2 linked regions of the Lytechinus pictus genome follow. The protein of the gene in region 2 interacts with the protein of the main gene of each other region in a pairwise test. Links are inferred from orthologs where the notes say so. Each region holds a gene or a part of one and is shown on either strand. Other genes may lie near its edges.

Region 1 (8,823 bases), on a different chromosome or scaffold from region 2:
CGCCGCACCGCCGACACAACGATGCCGCTATAATCTCTGCCCACGCCTATCAAACATACACCAAGGAACTTCACAGCCGACCCGGCCCGCCACCAATTCCTCCAACGTCCGCACTCACGCCAACACAAATCCACGAAGTCATAGCGCCACCACTGACCACCCGCCGCCGACCCGACCGGCCACCGATTCCTGCGACGTCTGCTTTCTCACCATAAGTAACCCTGCTTGTTTAGCATCCTTTACTCCTGAAGACGGAGAGTCAGCCTGCCCGAAACGTCGAATAACCTCTCTTCACTTCATCCTGCTACTACTCAAACCATCGCTATTCAAGCCATATTCAGCTCATCTCATCTGGTTTACAGTCCTTTTCAGGCCTTCACTCACTTTCACGAAAAGAATACTTCTAATTTCCTCTTTTCATCCTATCTCGTCTTTCCATTTCAATCTTTCTGCCTGTATTTCCTTCCCTTCTTCATATTACACGTGGTGAACTGTAAACCTTCTCCACATTATAAACTCCAGTACTCCACCATACAAACCTACAAAGATCATCTTGGATCTTGTTATGTCTACATCCATTGGAAGAGATGATATTACATCTTTTACTTCCCTAATTATCTCCTCACCATGATAATACTTTAGAATCACGTACGAGAGCTAGGTAATATTGCCGTTGTATTATTCAAAATTGTTGTAAATATTGCTTTGATTTGAACTAATGGGAGCCGGGGGGGGGGGGGGGCGCAGGGTTGGCTTCTATATTATGTTTGTGGAAGTGGCCGGGGAATAATTTTGTACGAAATGTCCTTTATTTTGTGTTTAATATACAGCGAGTAACTGACTGGGGTTACTATAATGGGCAAACCAATATTCCCCAAACCTTGACAACTATATCATTATAAAGACAATGTTACACAATCTTGACCTAAACTTGACTTTTGGTAATTCAGCAAAGAAATAATAATCCTCGAAAATAAAATCATGTATGTGTCAGGTAAATTCCCAGCATTTTTATATATCGGTAAACTATCAATTTCACAGTTCAAGTGTCAAAATTAAACACTAAAACTGAACAATGGTCAATTGCAAGGGGAGAAGATATGTGGAATATACCACCGGACACCAGTATGGGATCGCGGAAAAGGTTACTCAACTAGGATTGCTACACTCCTACTTAGACTTATTGTTATGTATTATTTACACAACAATATGACAAAATAACCATTCTTCGGGCGAACAATTAGTAAGTTATTTGAATCTAATGATTTTTTTTACAAATATAACAAAAATTTACCGGATTTCAAATGCCTGCCATTTCTTTAAAAAAACTAGGAAAAAAAATCCACCAACGTTATCAGTTAGCATGGTTAGGGAAAATTCTAGCAAATGTACTACAGTGCTTTTTCAATGTATTAAAATTTAAGTAAATATTAAAAAATAAGGATTTTGCAAAGTTAGGCTTATATCAAATTTCTGCTAATATATTTTGGGAAGTTTGTATCACTCATCAAAATGACTGATAATTCGAAGTCTTTCCCACATTTGCTTGTAAACTCGGTATAGTGGGTGATTGCATTACCGACCGGCCTTGACCTTGTATTACCGAACGCGCGCATCGTACGCGTCAGAAAATAATTTCATACGCTCAAACTTTGCTACATCCTTCCAAAGGAAACTTGAATAGAAATGATAAAAAATGGTAAAAAACACTTTTTTCACTCTTAATATTCTAAAAATAATAAAATATGGTCAAACTCAAAGTAGCTCATCAGCATGATCAGTGATTTTGTTGTTTTCTCAACTTTTTCCATAGAAAAAACACATTTTCGGTAATACGATACCTTTTTCAAGTGACCAAAAAATTAATGTGTAGAGGGGTTCGATTGGAAGCTAATACTAATAGTAATATCGTAAAAGGGAAAAACGATTTCGGCAAAATTTTTACATGTTTATATTTTGTAGGTAATTGTGTATTTATGGTGAAAGTTTGGTGAATTTTATGAGAATAATGTGTTTGATATGATTGAATTCATGAAAAGTGTTTGTAATGTAAATGATAAACATTTATGATTCATATTCAGACTCATAGTCATATTCTAGACCAAAAGCTTCGGTCTCTAGTGTTATGTTGGTTGTTCAGCTGAACTCCGTTGGCTTCACTCACCAAATACAGAGACCGAAGTTCTAGCGCGATCTGTACAGGGGACTCAATGGCCATATGTTTATGTGTGTTAAGGACGTTCCACAGTTATGTTTGTGCGCATTATGATCTGCGCATAGTTTACACTCTGCGCGCTGACGTCACAATGGATGAACAGGTGATTAATTAGCTGCGGGTATGAGCTGATTTTTCTCATCTTCTGCACTTTAACTGCAGATCCGATGCATTATTTCATGAAGCTAAAAACTGAAATTATTCCATGGACCATTCAAAAACAAATTCTCTACAATTTCAAAATACTTTACTCTGCAGTGCTGCCAAGAATCACGAATATTAAACCGAGTTTGAATGAATGGTATAGTGGTTTTGATTTTTTCTTCACATAGATACAAAGCATTCGGCGCATTTTTGGTGTTTTAAAAAGCACATTTGCTCTAATAAAAATGCTGATAGTTTAAAAACAAGCACATGAACCCCTATTTTTTAATGTTTGTACCTCTTAGGTATACCTTCCTCTACAACTCTGCAAATTCTGGTGAAAATGACATGGATTTTGAATAAAGTGCAGCATTTATTGTACTTTTGTAGTTTGTTACTAAAAATTTCACATTTTTTAGATTGGGATTTTGTTATCTTTTACCCCATTTTTAAGAACTGACAGTGCTGTTAAACTTAAAATTGCAAACAAATAGCACTATAAATAGATTATCCATTCTAACGATACAATTATTAACTCTCTTGCGAAATTTGATGACTTTTTCATGTATTTTGACTGAGTAATAGAGGTTTAAACTCATTGTAGTAATCTTGGGCGGTCTAAAAATGCCAAATTCTTTCGAATGCGCAATTCTTAAGAACATCAATTTGGGTGAACTTTGAAGCTCTATAGCAAAAAATCAAGCACATGGACCTATGTTGTATTTTGCACATTTCGAATAGTAAGGTTCTAAAGTATCTATGTGCAAAGTTTGGTGAAAATGACATGGATTTCACTTTAACTGTGGAACGTCCTTAAGTATGGATAAAACAGGGCAGTGAAGTTGCGCGACAGCCGAGGTAAGTCACTGTTTTTGTTCCTTTTAACTTGATTTTCCCCGTTTTTTCGCAATTAATGCCAAGAGGGAATGTTAATTTGCATTTCGGTCGCGTTAATTTTCAAAAGTTTGATTCATTAAAGACAAAAATTGAAGAGCCCCGACGGGGGGATTTTGCATTGTAAGTCCCCTAATGGTGGCTGCACGATAGCGAGCCATCTGTGTATGAGGAGAAATTTAAAAAATAAAAAAATGTTAAAAAACTCCTCGAAACAGACGGCTGCCAGCTGTCTAAGTCATATTCATACTCAGTCATAATCACTCATACTTAGCCTTACTAAATTTCAACGATAATGACGATTCCATTGTTTTTAGCATTTTTTTAAGGATTTTAATATCGCAGACATTTTGGAGAGGGAGCAAAGCGATGCTTACAAGTGTTGCTTACAAGATTGCTTGGCGAGAGGAGAAGGCCTAGGCTAGTTTCAATGGCGCGCTCCGCTGAGTTGATTGAGGCCGTTACGTGGCAGAGGCCTAGCCCTACGCTACAGACTTCCATGCCGAAGCAGCCCGACATCGACAACAACGGGCGAGCGAACGGGTGGTGTATGCTGCAAACCGGCGAACTGGACACACGGTCATCATGAGACATGACGATTTAGACTTGAATTGAGCCGAGGGTAGGCTAGCTTTATGCGGCTCAGTCAGACTATTCTTACGGGATACCATGGCTTGTGATGTAACTTACTTTTCACCTTGACTTTCATCTTTGTCTTTAACGTTAAGAACGGATTTGACTCCCTGTCTTGAGCAATCCCAGGTACCGGTACACTTGCGATCGATCGCTGCGCGCTGGAAGTCGGCGCGGCTAGCTAGCTATCGGCGGAACCTTCGCTCGTGATCCGTTTGAAAATTGGTAGGCACTTATGATCCAAGTTTGAAAGGAGACTCGTAAAATGACGTCAGTCTCGCCGATGAATATTCATTAGATCGTGGTCGTGCGTGTTCAATACACACTGCGTGCAGGCATGCAGATAGTTATATGCGAGGAACTTTGGCTCCAGAGACAAGTTGTCAAATAACGTGTGTGTGTGTGCGTGTGTGTACCATCGGCTGGTAGTATGCCATGCTGTCTAAGACTTCAAACGCGTCGGAGAGAGTGCATGGCAATTCGGTAAAACGAAGTTTCCGATATAAAGAGATAATAAAATAACACTATGTACAGTACGCCCGGGGGGCCACTTACATTGACGAGTGGATACCATGCGCGACCAAAAAAAACACGTAAAAAGGATGTCTTTTTCAAGAGAGGGCACGTTACGTACGTAACGTGATAAGGGTGTCAAAAACACAAAAATATTGAAAAAAGGGTATCTATTTCCAGTACGTTGAGAGGCAAATGTCAGATCAGGGGAGGCAGGAGTACAATCAGGTTTTTTAAAGGGAAGAATAGTGTAGAATAAAAGGTATTATATATAGCCAAATGATCTAGGTGAGGGAAGTGAACAATGATATGTTTTTAAAAAAAAGAATGAATATACCTTACCTGAATATTATGGTGAAGCCAATTTAAAAGGAGGTGAGACAAGTTTCAATGGAGGTTTTAAAAAAGAATAAACTGTATTATATGGTGAAGCCAATTTAAAAGGAGGTGAGGCAAGTTTTAATGGAGGTTTTTAAAAAGAATAAACTGTATTATGGTGAAGCCAATTTAAAAGGAGGTGAGGCAAGTTTCAATGGAGGTTTTTAAAAAGAATAAACTGTACTACAAATTATGGTGAAGCCAATTTAAAAGGAGGTGAGGCAAGTTTCAATTGAGGTTTTTAAAAAGAATAAACTGTACTACAAATTTAAAAGGAGGCGAGGCAAGTTTCAATGGAGGTTTTTAAAAAAGAATAAACTGTACTACAAATTATGGTGAAGCCAATTCAAAAGGAGGTGAGGCAAGTTTCAATGGAGGTTTTAAAAAAAGAATAAACTGCACTACAAATTATGGTGAAGCCAATTTAAAAGGAGGTGAGGCAAGTTTTAATGGAAGTTTTTAAAAAGAATAAACTGTATTATGGTGAAGCCAATTTAAGAGGAGGTGAGGCAAGTTTCAATGGAGGTTTTTAAAAAGAATAAACTGTATTATGGTGAAGCCAATTTAAAAGGAGGTGAGGCAAGTTTTAATGGAGGTTTTTAAAAAGAATAAACTGTATTATGGTGAAGCCAATTCAAAAGGAGGTGAGGCAAGTTTCAATGGAGGTTTTTAAAAAGAATAAACTGTACTACAAATTATATGGTGAAGCCAATTTAAAAGGAGGTGAGGCAAGTTTCAATTGAGGTTTTTAAAAAGAATAAACTGTACTACAAATTTAAAAGGAGGCGAGGCAAGTTTCAATGGAGGTTTTTAAAAAAGAATAAACTGTACTACAAATTATGGTGAAGCCAATTCAAAAGGAGGTGAGGCAAGTTTCAATGGAGGTTTTAAAAAAAGAATAAACTGTACTACAAATTATGGTGAAGCCAATTTAAAAGGAGGTGAGGCAAGTTTCAATTGAGGTTTTTAAAAAGAATAAACTGTACTACAAATTTAAAAGGAGGCGAGGCAAGTTTCAATGGAGCTAGGTTTTTAAAAAAGAATAAACTGTACTACAAATTATGGTGAAGCCAATTCAAAAGGAGGTGAGGCAAGTTTCAATGGAGGTTTTAAAAAAAGAATAAACTGTACTACAAATTATGGTGAAGCCAATTTAAAAGGAGGTGAGGCAAGTTTCAATGGAGGTTTTTAAAAAAGAATAGACTGTACTACAAATTTGAAAGGAGGTGAGGCAAGTTTCAATGGAGGTTTTTAAAAAGAATAAACTGTACTACAAATTATGGTGAAGCCAATTTAAAAGGAGGTGAGGCAAGCCTCAATGGAGGTATTTAAAAAGAATAAACTGTATTATGGTGAAGCCAATTTAAAAGGAGGTGAGGCAAGTTTCAATGGAGGTTTTAAAAAAATAATTAACTGTACTACAAATTATGGTGAAGCCAATTTAAAAGGAGGTGAGGCATACATATGTAATGTCTTTCAAGCTGTATGACAAAAATATTCTTTTCCATCCAACATCAGCTTCTACTATTTTTTAAGGTTAGTTTTTATTGTCATGTTGGCAAATTGTGAAATAGTTCATGTTGAAATATGTTGTATTACCTGTCATGCATTTGTAATGTTATTTTTTTAGCATATATTCTGTCATCATTTTCAGTACATAAAAGTTTATTCAATGTATGCCTTTACCAAAGTTGGCCATAAGCACAGTGGGACCAACTATCACTGAAGACAACACAACAATTACTCAAAATATATGCATAGCCTTATGAATGTACAAGTCAATAAAATCTACTATGACTACATTGCTTTTTTTTGTGCAACACAGTCATATTTCACTTGGATCAATTCAAAATTGAGTGGTGTTTTGGGGGTAATGCTATGGTAACTGCAGTTCTGTTGTCCTCTGACAGTTGGTGTTGTAAGGATGTGATTGGCAGTGTGTGGACGTCATGTTATAAGAGAAAAAAGTTAAAGTGAGAGTGTTGGCTTTGAAATGGACTCAACCTATGAAAGTTAAAGTTTGTGCTGCAGAAACTGGTGTGGTAGTGGGATGATAATGATGATGAGGAACAGGGCCGGTTTTCAATGCTACTCTTAAAGCCACAATTTCAAGTATATTTTACTCAGTATTTTGCAAAAGTAAAATACTTATCCATCTTTGGTATTCAATTGCATTTTTTTTGGGCTAAATATTTTGCTTAAATGTAAGTCAGCCATCTACTAGACTTAAGTCTACATATACAAAAATGATACGCACAGAAATACATTCACACATTTGGCACTATTTGGCTCAAAATTTATAACATCACAATGGGTATTAGTATTTAGTTCAATTTGGATAAGGTAAATTCTGAGATCTGATCTGCATACAAGTTTAAGCATTTTGATAAGCAAGCCAAATTGCTAAGTAAAATACTTACAAAATAAAAACTTAGAATTTAATAGGCGGCCGAGGTATTATTTTCTTCCAGAGGACATGTACAGATTTCTTGTTGACAAAGGATGACATGATGATTATTTTGCAAATATGGCTTATTAAAAAATATATTATGTATATTCCATTTCAGTGACAATTGCATTTTTGGGGAGGGGATATTACGTATTTGGGAATGGAAAAGTTCAAAATTAATGCAAACTTAACCTATTTACGCAGGGGGGGGGGGGGGCTCTGAGCTCTGCGATTTAAAAAAAAAGTCTTTTGCATGTTTTGAGACCAGTTTTGCGAAGCCCGGGTACTGGGTTCTGAAAATTACCAAACAATTTGTAAGTGCATATCAGACAAAAATGGCTCAAAATTGTGATATTTGTGTACCACGTCAATGGAATATGCGTTTTCAACCAAAATTCATGAATGCCTAATTGTTTTTAGTTTTGTTGAACTAAACTGATTTATTTTATCTGTTACGAGAGTCCGATCGAGCATCGTTGAAAAAAAACAATGCAATACAAAGGTAAAAACACAAGAAATACATTATCGAAGAACACCACAAAGAGTTTCTAAACCAAAAATTAGAACATTTGGAGCTTTATTTAGGGAGTTAGAGGAATAGGTATAGTATACTAATTATGCACAAATGAGCATAATCAATTAATAGCAATTTGCATGAAATAAATAACTACACAATTTTGTGGATTATTAAAAGCAATTGCGATCTTTCTCTTCACTATTCATTGTTTTTAGAAACCTCATTGAAGACTTGCCTCATGCACCTCTCAAGATGGCTTCATCATTTGAATTATATTCTACACTTATCATTCTTTAAAAAAAATCATTGTAGACATGCCTCACCTCCTCTCAAATTGCCTTCACCATAACTTGTAATACAGTTTATTCTTTTTAAAAACCTCCATTAACTAATTACCTCACCTCCTTTTAAATTGGCTTCACCATAATTTGTAATACAGTTTATTCTTTTTAAAAACCTCTATTGATCAACTTGCGTCGCCTCCTTTTAAATTTGTAGTACAGTTTATTCTTTTTTAAAAACCTCCATTGAAACTTGCCTCACCTCCTTTTAAACTGGCTTCACCATAATACAGTTTATTCTTTTTAAAAACCTCCATTAAAACTTGCCTCACCTCCTTTTAAATTGGCTTCACCATAATACAGTTTATTCTTTTTAAATACCTCCATTGAGGCTTGCCTCACCTCCTTTTAAATTGGCTTCACCATAATTTGTAGTACAGTTTATTCTTTTTAAAAACCTCCATTGAAACTTGCCTCACCTCCTTTCAAATTTGTAGTACAGTTTATTCTTTTTTAAAAACCTCCATTGAAACTTGCCTCACCTCCTTTTAAATTGGCTTCATCATAATTTGTAGTACAGTTTATTCTTTTTTTAAAACCTCCATTGAAACTTGCCTCACCTCCTTTTGAATTGGCTTCACCATAATTTGTAGTACAGTTTATTCTTTTTTAAAAACCTAGCTCCATTGAAACTTGCCTCGCCTCCTTTTAAATTTGTAGTACAGTTTATTCTTTTTAAAAACCTCAATTGAAACTTGCCTCACCTCCTTTTAAATTGGCTTCACCATAATTTGTAGTA
Region 2 (9,083 bases):
TATTTTGATAAATAAGTGAATATTTGACCTGAAAAGATGCCTCAAACAGAATTTTCTTCCTCTATTTTCACTTGCGAATTGTGCAAAATTTTGTGTTTTCGGCACAAACATTATTTATATCATCAGAAAGCTCAAATTCTATACTTTCTTACAATGTCACTCTTGATATGTGGCATCTTTTAGATGGGTCAGCAGCCAGCTTTTTCCATCAAGATGCAAGACGAGATTTCTGAATTTTTTGAGTAGCATAAAATCCAGAGTTCTGATTGGCTGAATAATGTTTTCAAAACAGGCGAAGGTATTATTTGAAGAGATAAGGCCTGGGGAACATTGGAATTTGCGTGGGTGTGTGGTCTCTATGACCAATCAGAGCGCAGTATTCTTGTTTTTGAGCTGGTAAATGTACTTGGCCTATGAAAAGCTGGCTGCTGACCCATCTAAAATACCTCTTCTTTTAAAAATTATATCATATTAAAGCTTAGATCTTCAGCTTTATCATAATCTAAAAATCATTTGGGCTCAAACAGAAATTATGTGGAAAAATAACAACTTTTGTTGCATGAAAATAATTACTTTCTATTGTGTTTTAGATCAAAAGTTTCACCTATATTACACAATCTTTTTAAAAATCCAAACACATGACCTGAAAGAATGATTCTTCTTCTTTACAAAGATACCAAAAACATGAAATTTTGTCAATATTTAGAGCACCAATAACCGGTGTGTTGGCTCAGTTGGTAGAGCGTCCGTCTCACAACCGGGAGGTCGGGGGTTCAAACCCCGGCCGCGTCAGACCAAAAGACGTTAAAAGATGGGAGTTGCTGCTACCCTGTTTGGCGTTCAACAATTAAAGGGATAGAGCCTCGTCGATCTGGCGCTGCACAGTGGCTGCCGGGCCCACGATCAATTGGGCAAAACAAATTTTCGGAGTAATTCATTTCTGGTGTCTATTTTGAACTACATGTATAAAATATGGATTTTAAGATTTTTTTTTTGAAAGATAAAAAGAGGCACCAAGCTCATTAACAATGCAAAAACCCTCTAGTCATGAATATCACCTAGATAAAAGAAGCTACTTTTTCAGGGCTTGCCGCTTGACTGGACACACAACCTGTCCGGACGCACGACCACTGGTAAGTGCTATAGAGTGAGTGATTGTATTACCGACCGGCTTGTATTACCAAACGCGCGCATCATACGCGTCAGTATATCATTTCATCCACTCAAAACTTTGCAACATCCTTCCAAACAGAACTTGAATAGAAAGATGATGAAAAATTGTCAAAATCACATTTTCAAAAGTCTTAATATTCTAAAAATAATAAAATATGGTCAAAATAGCTCATCAGTGATTTTGTTGTTTTCTCAATTATAGAAAACACACATTCGGTAATACGATACCTTTTTCAAGTGACCAAAATATTTCACATGCGAAGAGGGGTCAGATTGGCAGCAGAGGCGCACGGCCAATATTGGAGACTGTCTCCCATGAGAGAGATTATCTCCAATATCGGAGACTTTTGTAAAGAATTTGGGTATCCAATTTCAGAGACAGTCTCCAGTTTGGGAGGCCAAATTCCTTTGTTTACATTTGCTTCAAAAGGATTACCTTGGCGGCAAATAAAAATGTGATAAGCAGATTCCTCATAAAAAATTACCGTAAGTAACGGTGTATTAACCGCACCTTTTTCTCGGCGGGATATAAGCAAAAGTCGGGGGTGCGGTTTATACACGGTGACGGGTCTGAGCCCGCCCGCGTAGCCCCTCCCGAACATGTAAGAAGTCTGCCAGTTCACAACACATCGAGTGGCCGGCCGTAGCCGCCCAGTGCAATGTCGTTTAGAGGGGTATGAGCCGCGGGTAATGGGTAGCGATTATTATGATCTTATGATCAAATACTGTCGTAACAAATGCACCCACCTTCATGACACTAATTTCGACTTTATTCTCGATTCAAAGCAGCAAAGTTCCCTGGCTAAGTTCATAGAGACGCCAAGCATTCTCGGTGATAATTTGTCACAGCTGAGCGAGAGCCAAGAGCTAGCGCTAGCTTGCGTTGTATTTTGGTTTTAGTGCGACTTAAGCTGGCGCTATTCATTTAATTTAACCCCTCAAAGTCCCGTTTCGCGCCAGCTTATTTTTTTCTTTCCCGTTTGCTTTTCATAAGATACCATGTACACCGTGCACCACGCACGATAGAGACGGCACAAAGCCGTCAAACAACTGGAAAAAATACAAATTTCTTTGTTTCTTGAACCTTCCTGTAATCCCGTATCCAAAATTCATGCTAAGACATCGAATGCTAGACAAATTCTGAAAGTGATTGTGAGGTTGTGATGCAAGAAATGTGAAAGACACAGATCACAATTTGATAAGATGTACTGGTAGTGGTACCGTATCGAAGTTTGAAATGTACATGTACAAGAAAGGCAGTGCTGTGTGTGTGTACACTGTGCTGTGACTGTGAGGTGAGTGAGTGTGTAAATTGCCAATATTGGCGGGACCTTTCTTTCTTGCTAACATTTGTAGATGAATTGATCAAGAACAGCAGATTTCTGCACACTGGTAATCTCTTTGAATACTTTGAAATCTTTAACTTAGTTTTTGTTTCTTCGTACCTCAAATATGCATGTAAATGTGAGGTTTTTTTTTTTTTTTTTTTTTTTTTTTTTTTTTTTTTTTTAGTCCAAAGTTGGGGGTGCGGTTTATACACGGGTGCGGTTAATACACCGTTACTTACGGTACCCCTTTTCACCGTCTACTTTAAAAATTCACCGTCTACTTTTGTTTTGATAAGGATTTTTGTTGTCATCCACACACAAAACAAATGGGCTTCTGACCTCAGCGGGACAAAATTTTGGGTGGAAAAAATTATGCTTTTAATTTTGTTGGTGTCGTTTCTTTTGTTCTTTTGCAAAGCAAGTCTCTAATATGGGAGATTATCTTCCACATTGGAGAGAGTCTCCCATATTGGCCGTGCACCTGTACTGATTGGAAGCTAATATCGTAAAAAAGAAAAAAGATTTTAGCAAAATTTTTACATATTTATATTTTGTAGGTACGGTAATTGTGTATCTATATATTTTTTTATGAGTATGGTGAAAGATTGATGAATTTTATGACAATAATGTGTTTGATATGATTGAATTCATAGAAAAGTGTTCGATAATACAATCCACTACAAAGTACAGCTTGCGCTTGCTGGTTAGTGATAATTAGGTCGGTCGCACATGCGCAGATAGTTTTCAGTTACCGTCCAGGGGCCGATTGCACGAAAGGGTCTTTCCAAGGACCGTCTTTCGTGTCGCCCATCTTTTATGATGCGCTATAAGCAGGGTGGTGTTTCTGAAATTTATGATGAACAAATAAAATTCGTAAGCTTGCTTTTAAATCAAATTTTATAAAATTTCATGAGATATCAGATCATTTTATAAACAAATATTTTGTTTATTTTAACGGACAAATAAAATATAGGCCTATTTGCAGATAATTTATTTGAAATGCGTTTCACATGGCGTATCATAAAAGATGGGCGACACGAAAGACGGTCCTTGGAAAGACCCTTTCGTGCAATCGGCCCCAAGATTTCTCCCGTCGGCCGTCGCAGATTGAAAGCCCTGCCGCGCCGCGGCCCCAACCGGCGCCGGGCTCCTCCGGCGGCGAGGCAGAGCTCGTTGATTTACGTACCTTCCTGCATGTGAGCGAACACCTCACGTGTATTGACCAATGGCAGAACAAGCAGACCAAAATTTGGACACATCCTATGGCTGCTAAAACGATCAATCCAGCTTCCAAATATTCACTGACCCCATAGGCAACCACCAAAAGATATAGCCATGCAATGTATATAAATATAAATGGGAAAATATATCCATGGAGGACTAAGGGCCGCAAATTATATGAGGTGACACTCTCAATTTTTTCTTCCATGGAAGGTGCCATATTGGAAAAAGGTACAATGATTACAATTCACTTGTTAATATGATTAGATTTTATTTTTTTAATACCAATATATTGATCAATTTGTCATTCTCAAAAAATACTAAAGAATATATATATTATTTTCAATCTGAAAATATAGTTTATGAATTATTTACTTGAAATTTTGATTGCTTCATAATATAGACTGAGCGCCAATTTCTGATTGGTTTGAATATGGCTGCATATACTTCAGTCAATTTAGCTTGGGATGAAGTCACAAAATGTCTCTCAAACATCACTTTCCATACGGTGAGACCAATGAAATCGTATTTTATCGTAGATAATTACATGATATCTAGTAATTGTGTGAGATTATTTGATTGAATTGTTGTAGAAAGATATAAATTGTGATCAAACAATGGCTTAAATGTCACTTGATAAAATCCTGCCAGAACTTAGACATGGAAGAGCTCGGGCTCATCTTCGGGGTCGGGCTGTATGGGGGAGCGACCGGGCTGAGCTGTGGCTGTGCGGACGAGCTTATCTTCTGCCGGCTGCGTACTCTGCCAGCCAAGACTCAACTTCTAAACTTGAGTCAAGAGCCCCGAGTTCCATATTTATGATGAATGATTTAAAAACAACTATGATCTACTATAGCTAGGCCCCAGATCAGGGTTGGGCTCAATTACAATTTTTACAAAGCAAAGCAATTCATGAATTAGATCTAGATCTAAAGCCAAACTAGGGAAAGTAATAAGTTAGTAATTGAAAAATTGTTTGACTTCAATTACTGTCGATTACTTTTAATCCGGGCTTATGATTAGATCTACTTTCAATTACATTGTCTTTATTAGGCCTAGATCTACTTACTTTATTATTTAATTTACTCTGGATTGCTTATTTCTCTTTTCCCATAGCTATAAAAGTAATATCTTTTGCATGCAACTGTAGGCCTATCCTTTCCCATTAATATGTAGAGGAAAGAGGAGACACTTGACCATTTGAAATATTTGAGAAATTTTGCAAAAGGTCATACTCATAGGTTCCAACAAGAATTGAGAAATCAAACTATGTAATTTTTCATATTAGCAAAGCTACATTTCTTATATTATAATTTCATGCAGTGGCCTCATTTGTTTGTAACAATAAATGTTAGATGTTAAATCTGTATACTTAAATTTGGAATAGCCTACCCCCCTCAAAAAAAAAAAAAATCAGCTTTAAGTGGGTGATTGCGAAAAATGTGGATGAAAAATACTTTTTTTACTGCCCCCTCCCCTATAGGTGAAAGCTGGATCCGCCCTTTGCACGACTCAAAGTCAAGTTTACATGTTGTACATTATGATTTCTACATATGAAGAAAGCATGCAGATCTACATTTTATTGAGAATTTCAATTGAAACAGAGCAATAGGCAGGATCAATGCTCTCTAAACTAATAAAACCTTCATGTCAGTTTCTCTCTAACTTATAATTATGTTGAAATGGGTGGCACTACATTTAAAATATGAATTGATTTCATTTATGACTTTATTAAAAGTAATTGAAATTGTAATTGATAAAAGTAATTGGTAATTGTAATTGAAGAAAGTTATTGAGCCCAACTCTGCCCCAGATGCGTAGACGTAGACTTAATTAATATCCTTGGCAAGGGCTGGGCAAGGCCGCTTAACTTTAAACAAGGACAAAGACTGATGTGATGCCGTGGCAAAGATAATTAAATCATCATCATCATTGTACAGAAGAAGTAGGTAATCCTGTATTAGTGCTTCCGATCATTCCTTTGAGATTACTTTTACTGGTTTTTAAAAACAACTGATTAACGTGTGTGGAGGGTGGACATAGCCAGGAGGCTCCTAGAGAGTAAAAATCATTCACTAACGTGTGCTCTCCACGGAGTCGGGGATTGCGTCCCATTCATGTGCTTGTACCACAAAAAAAATTGAAATTTTCGCCCCCAGAATTCCTACTTTCCTTCTAAGATCTAGCCTTAAATCATGTAAATGGGATACAACTTCATTTCCGACATTTATACGATATTGATTCCATTTTTGTCTCACCTGCATAGCAGAGTGAGACTATAGGCGCCGCTTTTCCGACGGCGGAGACGTCAACCCCAAATCTTAACCAAAGGTTAAGTTTTTGAAATGACAGCATAACTTAGAAAGTATATGGACCTAGTTCATGAAACTTGGCCATAAGGTTAATCAAGTATTACTGAACATCCTGCCTGAGTTTCATGTCACATGACTAAGGTCAAAGGTCATTTAGGGTCAATGAACTTAGACCATGTCGGGGGAATCAACATCAAAATCTTAACCTAAGGTTAAGTTTTTGAAATGTCAACATAACTTAGAAAATATATGGACCTAGTTCATCAAACTTGGCCATAAGGTTAATCAAGTATTACTGAACATCCTGCATGAGTTTCACATCACATGACCAAGGTCAAAGGTCATTTAGGGCCAATGAACTTTGGCCAAGTTGGGGGTATCTGTTGAATTACCATCATAACTTTGAAAGTTTATGGATCTGATTCATGAAACTTGGACATAATAGTAATCAAGTATCACTGAACATCCTGTGCAAGTTTCAGGTCACATGATTAAGGTCAAAGCTCATTTAGGGTCAATGAACTTTGGCCAAATTAGGGGTATTTGTTGAATTACCATCATAACTTTGAAAGTATATTGGTCTAGTTCATAAAACTTGGACATAAGAGTAATCAAGTATCACTGAACATCCTGTGCGCCTTTCAGGTCACATGACCAAGGTCAAAGGTCAATGAACTTTGGCCATAATGGGGGTATCTGTTGAATTACCATCATAACTTTGAAAGTTTATGGATCTGACTCATGAATCTTGGACATAAGAGTCGTCAAGTATCAGTGAACATCTCAGTGAGTTTCAGGTCACATGACCAAATTCAAAGGTCATTTAGGGTCAATGAACTTTGGCCATGTTTTTTTTTTTTGTTGAATTACCATATCTCTGTAAGTGTATTGGTCTAGATCATAAAACGTGGACATGAGAGTAACCAAGTATCACTGAACATCTTGTGCGAGTTTCAGGTCACATGACCAAGGTCAAAGGTCAATGGATATTGGCCATGTTGGGGGTATTTGTTGTCAAATTACCATCATAACTCTGTAATTTTATTGGTCTAGTTCATAAAACGTAGACATAAGAGTTCACATGACCAAACTCAAAGGTCATTTAAGGTCATTGAACTTTGGCCATTTTAGAGGTAATTATTAGATTGCTGTCATAACTTTCAAAGTTTATATAACTGTATAAAATGTGGATATAGGGGTAATCAAGTATCACTGACAAGTTTTAGGTCACATCAAGGTCAAATGTCAATGAACGTAGTATTGTATCATATGAATGGGTTCTTTTTGTGAATAATTATTAAAAGGTTGTTTTTCAAAGTCAGCACTGCTGCTATATTGAATCGCGTGATGCAGGTGAGACCGCCAGAGGCATTCAACTTGTTGAACAAAAAATTCATTAAAAAAAACGAGAGAAATATCGCGAGAAGACTGGGGAAAACCTTGCCAATGTTTACGTCGCCATCTTGTTCTCTTTTGTCCTTCGCCAAGCTACAAGATGCATATCAGAGGATGTGCGTCTTGTTAGCACTAACAATGCGCTAACAGAGGCCCTGTTTCAACTGGTTATGTGGTAGCGATGGCAAATGTTACAACAATACATTACTTGTAAACACAAATAAATATTTTGACTTCACAATCTGAAAGATGTGACTGGGCTTACTGTTAGCGCTATGTAAGGCTAACAACGTTTCTGTGAGGCCGGCACTGGAGCTCACCGTTGAACAACAACACAAAAATATTCACCAAGATTATAATGAAAGAAAAGTATTTCTGTTATTGAATAGATCCATATTATTGTCAAAATACTTTTTTTTAAGTGTTGTGTTGCAAATAGACAAGGTGGTTGCAGACTTCAAGTGAAATGCGAATGGGTTTCTGACGTGACTGTAGACTGAAACAGACATGAAATTTTAAAAAAAAATCCCCCGAAGACAGTTATTCTAATATGACCTCAATCTTAGACAAAATTATGTTTGGGAGAAAATTGCCTTGGTAATGATGCAGTATCTTGTTTTCTTTTGTAAAGCAAATATGGGAGATTGTTTCCCATATTGGCCACGCATCTCTGTTGATGGTCTGTAGATGATAGATCTAGACCTTGTATATAAAAAGAAGAAAATTCCCTTTAAGAAAACAAACAATGAACTAAATGGCAAGTGCTGCTCATAGAGAGAATTAAAAATAAATACTTCCTGAGGAGTGCTAATGACTTTTTTTTTCCATTTACAGGATGATGATGATGGGAGGGATGCAAGGATCAAGCCGGCGATGGAGTTCCTGCAGGACCAAGGATTAGGGACCCTTGTTACGGAATGGTTCATGGAGACCTTCCAGCAAGATCTACAGAGCAGGATTGCGCCAAACTACTGGTCAACCTTCAAGATTGACGACACTTCGTCCACAACGCTCTGCTTGGATTGCCTCACCCGTGGAATAAACATTCTCCACTCCTCTCTCATTCCATACACCAACAGTCTCAATCTGCTTACTGGCTACCTTTCCGTTGAGGGTCAGGATCTTAAAGAGCGCTTTGATGTTCTTGTGAAGGCACTTCTCTTCTATCGCACTCCAATGCACTTTTCTGAAGTCGTGAAAACTGTATACTCATCCGTCTTCAAGGCGTTTAGTGACAGTGATGGCAAGAATGAGCGAATCAGAACGAGCGATGATAGTGAGATGGATATGGATGAGAGTACAGACATTGAGAAGGATGATGAGGAGGAGGAGCAGGAGGAGGGAAGAGACTCAGAACACACAACAGCACCTTCTCACTCTGATACCCTATCAGCTTTTCATCAAATAAATGCACAGTTGTAAGTATTTCTTGATGATATGTTGGATGTTGTCTTGTAGAAACTGATTATGGTTTCTGAGATTCTTTCCCCCTTTCCATGACCTGACATCTTGATGATTGAGAGCTAGTTGTGTGTGAACTGTTTAGTTAGTCTTATGTAAGAGGTTGTATGCATACATTTCAAATTTATACAAAAATTCATGTATATTTGGTAAATAAGCAAAAAGAAAATATTTTAATGGTTCAATATTAGCT

The links.
Region 1: the proteins of anaphase-promoting complex subunit 2-like (region 2) and anaphase-promoting complex subunit 11-like interact in a two-hybrid assay, tested with the Drosophila melanogaster proteins (2 studies listed by BioGRID). The link is inferred for Lytechinus pictus from reciprocal best matches to the Drosophila melanogaster genes mr and lmgA.

The regions. Positions count from the first base shown.
Region 1 is NC_087249.1:3,772,924-3,781,746, forward strand, and holds the start of anaphase-promoting complex subunit 11-like, read right to left. Parts: upstream 4,051-8,823; 5' UTR 3,963-4,050; coding exon 3,922-3,962; intron 1-3,921.
Region 2 is NC_087259.1:2,283,013-2,292,095, forward strand, and holds the start of anaphase-promoting complex subunit 2-like, read left to right. Parts: upstream 1-4,141; 5' UTR 4,142-4,155; coding exon 4,156-4,230; intron 4,231-8,263; coding exon 8,264-8,847; intron 8,848-9,083. Other genes in the region: endoplasmic reticulum transmembrane helix translocase-like, read right to left, coding at 3,688-3,942.